3 linked regions of the Macaca mulatta genome follow. The protein of the gene in region 1 interacts with the protein of each later gene in a pairwise test. Links are inferred from orthologs where the notes say so. Each region holds a gene or a part of one and is shown in the gene's direction. Other genes may lie near its edges.

Region 1 (4,144 bases):
CACGCCACCAAGTCCAGCTAATTTTTAAATTTTTCTGCAGAGACAGGGACTCGCTATGTTGCCTCGCTGGTCTTGGATCCTGGCCTCAAGCAATCCTCCCTCTTTGACCTCCCAAAGCATTGGGATTAGGTTTGTGAGCCACCGCTCCCAGCCCGTTTATCTTTTAGGGAATATAGTGACTCAGGCAAGAGACATGGTTGACTGTGTGCCCTATCCTCTTTTGTCTTCAAAGGGTCTTCCCAGAGACTTCAGAGTCAGAGGCTTTGTGAAATTATGTTGCCAAGCAGAATTGAGCAAGTCTGGCTTCTTACATTTGTTACTTTGTCTCACAGAAGATGGGGAATCCTAAAATACAAATTTTGGCCTATAACTTCATACTGTGTGGGATACTGCTTTGGTGAAGTCCGTTTTATTGTCATCCCTTTCTTTTTGTAAGTTAAAAAAAATTTTTTTTGAGGCAAGGTCTCACTATGTTGCCCAGACTGGCCTCGAACTCTTGGAATCAAGTTATTCTCCCACCTCAGTCTTCATCCCTTTCTAGCTAGTGAAAAACAAATACTATGCAGAACTCCGGGTCCTCTTTTCTAGGGCAAGGAGGGGAGCCGGAGGGTCTGGTAGGTCCCAGTGAGGTGACTGCTCCAGCACTTCATCTTTGGGAACATCGGTCTGGTGCCAGTTTGACCCAGGGAACGGCCTAAGTCGCCCGCAGGCTCCTAAGGTCCTCGTCTTTCCGGGTGGCAAGACATCTGATCCATCTCGAGAACAAGTTCCCGGTTGCTTTAGGCGCTTTGTTACTGCTGACGCTGCTGGTGGCGGTTGGGCTCTCGGCTGGGAAAGGCGCAGCTCGTGTGTATGGCTCGGGAGGGGGCACTGAAAAGGTCTTCCTGGAGGGCTTCCTTCAGAAGGAAACAAATTGGGAGTTGTTGGCGGTCCAGACAGTTCGGCAAAGTGCAGTGTCCCTCCTTGGGGAATTTCGGAAGGATCCTGGCCCGGGGTACTCCAAAGGTCCAGCGCCCATAGGTCGAGGGTAGGGGGAGGTACCAGGCACCGCAGCTTGGCCCCAGGGGACATCTTCCCTGCCCCACGCATCCAATAGATGACCCCAGCTGAGGCCCACGCAGCCAATAGCCGACTTCAGCCGAGACCCAAGCAGCCAATGGCCAGCCCAGTGCACTTCGCCCGTGCCCGCCCGCCTGCGCCCACCAATCAGGACTCGGGCCACCTTGGCACCGCCTCTGGACGCCCACCCCACCCATCCGCCCCGCCTCCAACTTGCTCGAGCAGGGCTGGGTAGACCGGCGCACTCCCGGGGGCGGTGTGGGGGGGCAGTCCCGGTTTCGGCCATCGCTCGGGTGGGCTCGGAGCGGCCGCACCGGGCAGCAACCCCACTCCCACTCGGAGGCCCCCTGCCCTCTCCCCCACTTCCCCCCGGCCCATGGTGCGAGGCTGGGAGCCGCCGCCCGGGCTGGACCGCGGTGAGTGATCCCCAGCCCCTTGGACTTCCCCTCCCAGCTCGTGTACGGTCTCCCACCTCTGGAGTCCCATCCCCGCGCTGGTGGGGGGAGAATTCTAGGTTCGAAGTGGCTCGGTTCTCTCTTTTTTCTCCTCTGGACTTTTCGGTTCCCTGTTGTAACTAGGGGAGGGTAAGTGTCTGTGTAGGGGAGGGCAAGAAGGTTGGGTTGGGGCGCCCTTGGCGAGAGTAGGATTGAGATTCGCCTGCCTCATGGGGCTCATCGTCCCAAGTGCAACAACTTTTTGTTCCCTGACCCAGTTCGGAGCCTTCTGGACTGCCTGTGAAATGGAGGATAGGAGAAACATTTCCTTCCCAGGCCCCCCCCGACGCCACACAAACCCCCAACCCCCATGGCTACCTCCTGGCGACCTCAACACACGTGCAGAACCTGGCCTTGCTTCTGGGGGATCAGCGGCCTTTGGGAATGAAAGGTTTAGAAGAAACTGCCCCTCTGATTCCCGTACCCAGCCATACTCAGAAAACCAACCAGGAAACTGAGAACCCGAGTCCTCTGGGGTTCCTAGTGTTGCGTCCTATTCTGAGACTCCTAAAGTGAAAGAAGACTCAAGCTGAGACCTGTTTGGTAATGTGGGCCCAGATCAGGAGATTTTTTTTTTTTTTGTCATGTGAGCCTCTTTCCCATCATACACTTGAAGCCCTTTTATATTACATGATTAGGTTAGATGGTTGTAATTGAAAAAACCAGATTGGGAATTTTAAAGATAATGCATACATATCTTGAACATTATAATTAAAAGTATGTCCATTTCACCAATCTTTTGATGTAGTGGTGAGACTGTTCTTGTGTCTAAGACTGCTGTTCGGAGTTCCCAATTCTCTTTCCAGTGTTAACTACACAGGGAGTCTCAAACCTGGCTGTACCCTGAGAACTTTTTAAAAAACTGTGGATGCCTGGACCCCAGTACAGACTATTGAATCTGAATGGGGAGGAGAGTGGCCTGGTTTTTAAGCTTCCCAGGTAATTCTACAGTGCAGTCTGAGATGAGAGCCACTCAGGCACTTTCATCATCTTTGATTTCCCGTTTTGCTTTATTTAAAGTGAAGTTAAGAATTCAGACGCTTTTGAGTGCAGAGTACTTTTGAGATTAAGTCCCACCCCTCAATCTTTTACAGTTGTCTTGCTCACTCCCAACTCAACAATTTTTAAAATGCATACTCTTCTTTGCGTTATGTCTCTCCAAAACATTTGACTTAGTTTTCATAGGACCAATTTTTTAAAAATCAGTATTCCTGAAGGAACAGTTTTCAATGCAGTGATTTTTCATAGGTTTACATGAGGTTTAATTACATTATTATACAGACACTGAAAAAGTGTGGACATAAGCAGGTTTGTAATCACACAAAACTGGCCCCAGCACACAGGACAACTGAATGAAGCAGATGATTTTGGCGCACTAGTAGTAGCCTACTGGCCTTTAGTTTCCAGTGCACCATGGTATTGGTCATGTAATCCAGTGGGTCAGTTAAGCCAGGCTCCTGGCCCAGGTGAGCATCCTTCCCTTCCACTCTTTCCAACTAATATCACAATTACCTTGTCCCTTCTAAACGCACTTGAATTCCTGAGTATTCCATCAACTCTTTACATTCGTTCACATCAAACTGTTCATCTTTAAGTGATTACCACTATTGCCTTTGTTAAGTTGGAAGGATATAAGGCAGTAATCCTTAACCTGGCTTCTTGGCAGTCACTAAAGGCCCTGAGTTTACTGTGTAAGTGTGAATGTTTATTTCGGGAAGGTTGGTCATAACTTTCTGAGGGTCTGTAACTTTTGTCTGATTCTCAGAGGTTCATGAACTAAAAAGTTAAGAAGCATATAAGCTGAATATCACTATACATCTTTAAGGCCCTTAAAACTGTATCCCCAAACACATTTCAGGAGTACTTCAGACTGCCTCTAAATAAAGATTTAGGGAACTCTGCAGGATCATATCTCATTTCCCACTTTATTTATTTTTATTTTTTATTTTTTGAGACAGAGTCTCACTCTGTCCCCCAGGCTGGAGTACAGTGGTGTGATCATGGCTCACTGCAACCTCTGCCTCCCAGGTTCAAGCGATTCTCCTGCCTCAGCTTTCCCAGTAGCTGGGACTACATGCGCATGCCACCATGCCTGGCTAATTTTTGTATTTTTAATAGAGACGGGTTTCACCGTGTTGACCAGGCTGGTCTCGAACTCCTGACCTCAAGTGATCCTCCCGCCTCGGCCTCCCAAAGTGCTGGGATTATAGGCGTGAGTCACTATACCCAGCCTCGCCTCCCACTTTAACTGTCTCCTAATTTAACGATAGGCCTAGGTTCAAACCTAAAGTTCTAGAGTCCTCTTTTTCCTAGGACTGTGTAAACACAGAAACTGGAAGTTTAAGACAGTCCATTCTTGTTTGCCATCTGTCCAGGGATATGGAAAGCCCAAGGGGAAAGAAGGGTGTTATACTGACTCAGAGAGAGAGTGAGAATTTTTTTTTTTTTTGAGACAGAGTCTCACTGTCGCCAGGCTGGAGTGCAGTGACACAATCTTGGCTCACTGCAACCTCGGCCTCCTGAGTTCAAGTGATCCTCCTGCCTCAGCCTCCCGAGTAGCTGGTACTACAGGCACATGCCAACACACCCAG
Region 2 (4,103 bases), on another chromosome or scaffold:
ACTTTGGGGACAGCACCAGATTGCAGTGGGTTGAGGAGTGAGTGGGAGGGGAGGGGTTGGAGACAGCTGGCAGGGACATTTTTTCAAGCTGTTTGGCCAAGAATGGAGAGAGATAGGATGGTAACTTAATAGAATTGAGAGCTTCTTCTTTTTTTTTTTTTTTTTCTATACTAACGGAGGAGAGGAAGAAAATTCAGGGACAAAAGCAAATAATAAAGCCCAGGGGGAGGAGCAAGATGGAATCCAGTGCACACACTGGATTGTTCTTCAGACAGGAGGGATGCATGTCTATGTTTTAACTGGATGCAAGGAGGAAATGATTAAATTGGCTGGAAGCTTGATTGTTGGGTAGTTCTCGCTTAAGGATACTGTTTCCTCTTGGAAGATAGGCGATGAGTAAGGAGTTCGTTGAATGAATACACGAACATTTTCCCGTAGCTAGTCAAAGTCTAGGGTTACCAGCAGGACAGAAGAAGACACTGCAGGCCGGGTATGGTGGCTCACGCCTGTAATCCCAGTACTTTGGGAGGCCGAGGCGGGCGGATCACGAGGTCAGAAGACCGAGACCATCCTGGCTAACACGGGGAAACCTTGTCCCTACGAAAAATACAAAAAATTAGCCGGGTGTTGTGGCGTGCGCCTGTAATACCAGCTCCTCGGGAGGCTGAGGCAGGAGAATCGCTTGAACCTGGGAGGCAGAGGTTGCTGTGAGCCGAGATCGTGCCACTGCACTCCAGCCTGGGCAACAGAGCGAGACTCCGTCTCAAAAAAAAAAAAAAAAAAAAAGAAGAAGACACTGCATTTGAGGCAAGAGTCCGGTGGGAAGCAGGTTAAGACTGACTGAGAGGAAGTAACCATGGGAGGGCTGCTGGTCCACTGAAAGAGAGAGATTTTTCCAGAACCTCATGCTGGGGCTTTGATTTAGGAATCCCCTTCTTCCTCTAGTCAGTCAGCCTTCCCTGGCCTATGGCTCACGTCTAAAGCCTCGAGCCTCATCGTTCCCACCGAGGACCAGCTGGAAGCCATTTTGATTATGCTCCACCACGAAGGAGGACAATACAGCCCCGCCCAGAGCCAGGCGCGCCCCCGCGGCGGGCCGGGTGCGCGTGTCCGCGCTTCTTCCCGCCGGCCGGGCGGGCGCCTGGCCCAGGACGCGGTGGCGCGGGGCGGGGGGTGGGGGTGGTTATGTAAGCGTTGCGCGCTCCCGCGAGGCGCCAGCCAATGGGAGGCCCCGGCGGCTCGTGCTCGCGCACGCAGGGTGGGGGGAGGGAGCGCACGACGTGCGCGCACCCTCTCCCTCGTCCACCGCTGCCGCCTCCTTCTTCTGCCGCTCCTGGTGCTGCTTGTGTGCTCGTTTGGTGCGGACCTGGTACCTCTTTTGTGAAGCGGCAGCTGAGGAGACTCCGGCGCTCGCCATGGCCGACGAAAAGCCCAAGGTGAGCTCGGCGCCGGCCCCTTCGCCTCGCCGCGCGGTCGGGGTCAGGGCGCGGGCCGGGGTCCGGCCAGAGCTCGCCGCTGGCTCCCAGCGCCTTCCCGGGCCCCCCACAGGGCCGGCCGCAGCTCAGGCCCCGGCGCTCCGCGCCATTTTCCTCCCTCCCTCTCTTCCTCCCTCCCGCGCCGGAGGAGGCCCCGCCGCTCTCTCCCGCCCCCGGCGGCCTCCGAGTGCGCGCGGGGCGCGAGTTGGGCGGGCAGATCGCGGACGCCCGCGGGCCCACCAGCCCCGAACGGGGATTCTTGGCCCAGCCGTCCGGCGCGCGTGAGGAGGGGCGTTAGGGCGCGCGGGGTCTCCACCCTGCGCCGACCCCGCGTCGGGTGTTGCAGTCTCCGAGGCGGCGGGGAGTCCCCTGGGCTCGGGCTTCACCTCTCAGGGGTAGAAACCGCGGGCATCTGGGGACTCCTGCCCGGGGCGGCGGCGGCGGGGCGAGGGTTCGGGGCGAATCAATGGGCTGCTGATGAGCAGGAACCTGGATGCCCGCTGGCCGCCGTACTGGGCCTGGGGGTAGGGGGATTCCCGTGGAGTATTTCCCACTTTAATGGCCTCAGGGACCTGAGGGGGGAGGGGCAGCGGCTTTTCCCTGGGTGCCAACGAACCCCTAATCCGCGAAGACCATGTGGTTTCATGAAGTTGGAGGCACAGGTAGGAGCAGAGAGACTTTGTGCGGCTTAACTTTTGAATGCGGCTTTTGAGGCACCCGAAGACTTCCCGGGAGGACTGGGGGACACCCATCATCGGGGCACACGGGACTTGCTGCTTTTAGTTTGGTGACACCTCCCGCCTCTCGCGCCTTTACTTTCTGAAGCGTTTTAGGGCTACAGCATGCCTTCTACACTCGATTTTGGACAACTTTAGGTTGGGTCGAAATCTACAAGAAACACTTGGGATAAAACTGTGTATTTGACCCATGACAACAAAGGGGAGGGGAGAATAAGTGCTCTTAACCGAAGATAAAAATGAAGCTGCTAATAGAGGAGAACGTAACTGTGGTCCTGAGTATTACCGCTGTTCCGGAGGGAATCGGGATATTCTTCGATTTTTCGTGTGTGTGTTTACTTTAATGGAGATTGGATTTAGGTTATTAAACTGAGTTTGGTAACTTTTTAACGACAACGGTAATGAGTTTTGAATGGCAGGCTGTAGATTTATTGTTTTGTTTCTTGCAGTTGTACTTAAAGTGCTTAGAAAAGAGACTCTTATTTTTAACTTTTTTTGGGGGTAAAATATATATTTTGGGAGTGATATATGCCATTTTAGAAAGTTTAGCTTCAAGAGAACGTTCAATACACTGAATAGGACCCAACTTTAAACATGTATTGTTGTTACTGATAGTATTGCATGTAGGCTTTTCTGTATCTGACAGCTATCTAATACTGTTGCTGCAGGATTTCTCCTCTTTCACATTGATTTCAGCAGCTGAAAACAGCCGTATGCCGTTTTAGCATACCGTATGAGAAACCTGTTGATTTTTGAAGCAACTTAGGGCTGCTGCTGCTTTATAAAAGTGTGTGTTGATCACATTTCCCAAATTATACTTTTATTTTTCTTTTAACAGGAAGGAGTCAAGACTGAGAACAACGATCATATTAATTTGAAGGTGGCGGGGCAGGATGGTTCTGTGGTGCAGTTTAAGATTAAGAGGCATACACCACTTAGTAAACTAATGAAAGCCTATTGTGAACGACAGGTGAGGAATTCATATGTGTACTTCCACTGAATAAAACTATTTTTAAAAATCTTATTTTCATGGGAACAAAAACTAGCCTGGCATAATACTACAGTGACTTTTTGATGGGATGAATATGCACTTGTACTTGGCATGTCAGTTTTATCGTGCACTTGGTAGCTTGCTCATGAAAACCCTTAGGATGATTTGCTTAGTATTATATGTGGTTCCAGTCCTGTGCCAGAAATCCATCAAATTGTATTTACAATACTTGTTTTTTGGTTTTTTTTTTAACCAAGGAAATGTAATTTTATGTTTATAAGAAAGTAAGAGTGAACTTGGTAAAATTACTTAAGAGTCTTTTATTATTTTATTTTATTTTTTTGAGACGGAGTTTCATTCTTGTTGCTCAAGCTGAAGTACAGTGGCGTGAGCTCAGCTCACTGCAACTTCCACTTCCCGGGTTCAAGCAGTTTTCCTGCCTCAGCCTCCTGAGTAGCTGGGATTACAGGTGCCTGCCACCACGCTTGGCCAATTTTTTTTAGTATTTTTGGTAGAGATGGGGTTTCATCATATTGGCTAGGCTTGTCTCAAACTCCTGACCTCAGGTGATCCACCCGCCTCGGTCTTCCAAAGTGCTGGGATTACAAGCATGAGCCACTGCGCCAGACCAAGAAGTCTTTTTTTTTATTTTTTTTTTTGAGATGGGAGTCTTGCCGTATTTTTTTAAGCTAGAACTTATCTACCTTGTAAATCGTGGGGTTTTTTTTGTTTTTTTTTGGTTTTTTTTTGACAGAATCTTGTTCTATTGCCCAGGCTGGAGTGCAGTGGTTCAATCTCTGCTCACTGCAACCTCTGCCTCCTGAGTTGAAGCTATTCTTTTTTTTTTTTTTTTCCCCCCCGAGACGGAGTCTTGCTCTGTCGCCCAGGCTGGACTGCAGT
Region 3 (4,104 bases), on another chromosome or scaffold:
TTTTGGTTCCTAATGAACTGTTTTACTTTTGTTTGACCAGATGCCAGCTGCCCTGGGTAACCGCCATGACACAAGAGAGCTAAGTGCTAGCAATTGAAAATAAAGATTAGGGGTAGAACCAAAAAGAGTCAGAAGTGTGACCTTAGGACTGAAAATACATGTGCTGACTTCATCTCACCAGGCAGAATTTTCCAGGTTGGCAATTTTGCCTCATTCACTCCGTGGATTATTGATTAAAAGAAACTTGTAGCAGCTGGCTCCGAAAGTCAAAGGGACAAAGTGGCAATCAGGCCATGACCAAAATGCACACAGAGGCCAAGGAATTTGCAGTGTACTTCCTTGTTTGTAAATCAGAGTCACAGTGGAGAGCTGAAGGCACCGCAGCCAGCGGCACCACCTGTAATTAGGGAGCCACAAGTACCTGCACTCCATGTGTCTTTCTTGCATGTTGCACATACATAAGATAACACCGAGCTCCCGATTCACATCTCTGGAAAGAGACTACTTAATTCACTAATTATTCACATTTCTACTTAGAATCGAATTCCCAGAGCTTATCGCTTATTTAAGCAAAATCTTTGGCCATCACTGGAGCTGTCATCCCACAGAAGTGCTTAAGCAAACCAGTGGGAAAAGCAAAACTCAGAAAAGCACACTTCCAGAAGCGCAACGTTTACATTTTTAACTAGCTGGGTCACTTTGCAGGAACGACTTAATCTCTCTAATCCTCAGTTTCTTTATCTATATAATGGGAGTGATAATTATAGATTCTGTTGAGAATTAAATTAAATAATGCAGGTCAGGTAATTACTACAGAACCTGGTAGGCAGTAAGCACTTAATAAATGTTAGCAAAGATGTTGCAGCGGCTGACAGTGATGGCGATGGTAATGCTGAAGAATGAGCAGAAGAAATCCTTATTTAAACAATCATTCTGTATCTTTAGAGTTAAGAGTCTTAAGTAGTATCAGCCACAAACTTGCTCAGTCTTCTTCTTTGTCCACAAACATTAGCCAGTGTTCAGTTATGAGCAATACTGCCGAGAGAAAATCTTTGAAAGTTTTGGCAAGGTATTGGAACAAGTCAGAACTACTTATTTGCCTGATATAGATTTTGGTGCATGTCCCTTTTCATATTCAAAAATAAAAGATGCCCAGGATTCTAGGGCCTGTCCAGTCAGCAGCCCCTGCCTATTAGCATGATAATGTTCCAGACCTAATGATGGCCTGAAGGTGTGGTGACCCTGTGTTTATTTCCTTGTTGATTTCCCTTCTCTGGCTCCAAGATCATTTTCCCATTGCCCACAGGAAACAACATCTAGGGGCGAGGTAGGCCTGACTTGGCAACCCTAAAGGTGAACAAAAGGATCTTGGCTTTTGGCAAAAGCAGAAGGAAGTTCAGGGGCGTCTCAGCCCCATCCAAACCAGAATAGATTTGTCACTGATGCTAATGCATGCTGCTCTGCAGGGGACCACTCTCCCGCTAAGCTCTCCATAGCTGCTCTCAGTTTTATGAATCTGCTCTACCCAAAGCCTTGCAGAAGGGACAGGGGATGTCCTGGTTAACCCCTGCATGTACAATGGTGGAGCAGTTTTCATGCATAGCTGGGACACAGAATACTGGAAAGAGAAAGAAAAATTTCCTGAGCTACTGCTAAGCCAGCAGAACTCATCTCTCAAACGGACTATCACCTGAGACTTCACACAGCTGGGAACTGATCCGCAATACAGCAAAGGTAAGATGGCCTAGTTCCTCTACAAGGTAGAATCTCATACCATTTCTTAAAAACGTCACCTCTGCCCACTCAGCCCCCAGTTCTCACCTCTCTCTCTCTCTCTCTCTCTCACACACACACACACACACACACACACACACACACACACACACACCCCAAACTGAGGAGAGTCTAAAAGATGGAAATATCTAGGTGTGTCTTTTTGAAAACACTAGAAACGCCTTGGCATTTCCTCTTTTTATACCCTATTTTTTTCTGCAGTGGCCTTCATTCAAAGCTTATTTACTTTGACAAATGAAAACGACTTGCCAGACAGATCAGTAAAAATATAAGTAATCCCACTAACAGTAACTGGGTTTATGCGACAATATTCTTTATCGGTATTTAAAACACATTCACACACAGACTTTGTTTCATTCCACAGTAGGAGTAGGTGTTGCATTGTAGTTTTACCCATGGATAAAGAGGTTGAGAGAAGCTGTGACCTGCTCATGGATGTGTAGAGTTGTGGGTGACCAGCAGCACATCCTGTCTTCATTCCTATCTCTTTTCAGTAGAATGGTGACCCTACTCTTTACAGAAAATTCCAGACTACATTCTTGGCCATGTATTCTGACAAATGGTCTGATGAGAGGATGGAATTTTAGAAATTGGAACTCTCAGGAAAATCCAGAAATAGATAGCCACAGTATCCTGTACAATACACCACCTTGTCATGTATTCCTGTTTACTTCCATTCCTGGGCATTGAATTCAGTTCAACAAATGTCGATAAACTATGTTCCCTGCTCCAACACTGACTGGCTCATATGTCAGGGCGTGGTGCAAGTCCTGTGCCCAAGGAATGCTGAGGCAGTGCAGAGTAGGATGGCGGGGTGGGGGGCTTCCCTAAAGAGGTGAGCTTCAAGTAAGCTCAGCATAAAGAGTGGACTTGGATTGAGGGAGAGCATTCAGATACACAAATCCCCCGGGAGGAATTTGTTGAGTGAACATTTACTTACACCAAGTCCATGGTGGCAGAGCTGAGGGGCAAGGAGCACAGCCTGAGGAATTAGACTGTCTGGCCTTGACTCTTGGTTCTACTTCCCACTAGCTCTGCATCTTGGAGTACCTCAGTTAACACCGCTAACCTTACCTTGCCAATATGTAAAATGAGAACGATGGTAATACATCCCTCATAAGGTTGTCTTCAGCTGTGAATGATTATGTATGGGAAGTCTTTCCTGATGCATAACAACTGCACAATAAATATTAATACTAACTAGTGTGATGACCATGTGCCTGGCTCCAAGGGAGATGCAGGGAATACAGATAAGAGGAGGCCTACCCTCAGTGTAATCAAAACGTCATGAGATAGTTGTGTGCAGCTAATGACATGAGGTGTGATGCATGCTCTGGAACCAGGAGGGTGGAATCTTTTAAGTCTGTGTGAGCTAGGGTTGGGGTTCTGGGGGGACAGGGAAGGGGGCAGAGGTTTCACAGCAGAGGCCCTATGTGTAGGGCGGTAGTATAGATCAGTGAAAAGAGCTAGACAGATCTAATTTTGAATCCCAGTTTCCTCCTCTATTTACGTATCTATTTATTTCTATATTAATCTATATGTATTGAAAGCCATAAATTCATACTGCCAATTCATACTTCCAATTCCAATCCAACACTCCCTTTCTACATTTGTAACTCCCTTCTCTAACATTCATCAGAAGCTGGCTCCCATTATCCTTAATATATTATATGCTTATTCACTCAATCCCCCAAATGTCATCAACTGCCATCATGACACTGTCCCTTGCCCCATGCAGACGCCCTCCGCACCCTGCTTAGGCCCTGACGCTTTGTTCTGGGCTGCCCTGAGCTGGCTCCTGGAATTCTGGAGCTACCATATGTCCTCCACACCCGCACAGGTGCCTACTTTGCTCAGCCCTATGTAATGTCTTTAAGGACTGTGACACATGCTATACATTTGTGTATGTACCTGTGTTGTCACTGTCTTTGGAGGGGGATAGAGCTATCTCCTCCATACAGGTAGGGCACATGTCCTCAGCATCAGGCCTGAAGAAGCCAGGCTCATTCCATTCATTCTATTCCACTTGGTCTGCTGATCTATATGGATGTGGGCTGCTCACTGTATGCTCGGGGTAGTAACAACATTTCCAGGGGTGAAAAGTACTATTTGGGCAGTCACTGTTCCTTTTGCTTCTCTGTCAAGTCCTTGTCTAGGTTCTCCATTATTCATTTACTTAACAACAGATATGAAGCACTTACAAGGTAACTGGTGCTTGGTTAGGGTGGGACATAGAGATTTAAAACCTTAGTCACCACCCTCAAGGAACTCCCAGTCCACTGTGGGAAGCAGACAAGCCATAAATTTCCA

Evidence for each region. The genes of interacting proteins can lie anywhere in the genome.
Region 2: the proteins of HOMEZ (region 1) and SUMO2 interact in binary tests that used the Homo sapiens proteins (3 or more experiments, as listed by UniProt). The two-hybrid records come from large-scale screens. The link is inferred for Macaca mulatta from reciprocal best matches to the Homo sapiens genes HOMEZ and SUMO2.
Region 3: the proteins of HOMEZ (region 1) and LNX1 interact in binary tests that used the Homo sapiens proteins (3 or more experiments, as listed by UniProt). The link is inferred for Macaca mulatta from reciprocal best matches to the Homo sapiens genes HOMEZ and LNX1.

The regions. Positions count from the first base shown.
Region 1 is NC_133412.1:96,383,090-96,387,233, reverse strand, and holds the start of HOMEZ (homeobox and leucine zipper protein Homez), read left to right. Parts: upstream 1-1,254; 5' UTR 1,255-1,435; coding exon 1,436-1,475; exon of another isoform or gene 1,476-1,643; intron 1,644-1,771; exon of another isoform or gene 1,772-3,581; intron 3,582-4,144. UniProt on the Homo sapiens protein: May function as a transcriptional regulator.
Region 2 is NC_133421.1:84,873,396-84,877,498, reverse strand, and holds the start of SUMO2 (small ubiquitin-related modifier 2), read left to right. Parts: upstream 1-1,286; 5' UTR 1,287-1,415; coding exon 1,416-1,436; intron 1,437-3,050; coding exon 3,051-3,182; intron 3,183-4,103. UniProt on the Homo sapiens protein: Ubiquitin-like protein that can be covalently attached to proteins as a monomer or as a lysine-linked polymer.
Region 3 is NC_133410.1:79,855,955-79,860,058, forward strand, and holds the start of LNX1 (E3 ubiquitin-protein ligase LNX), read left to right. Parts: upstream 1-1,287; 5' UTR 1,288-1,734; intron 1,735-4,104.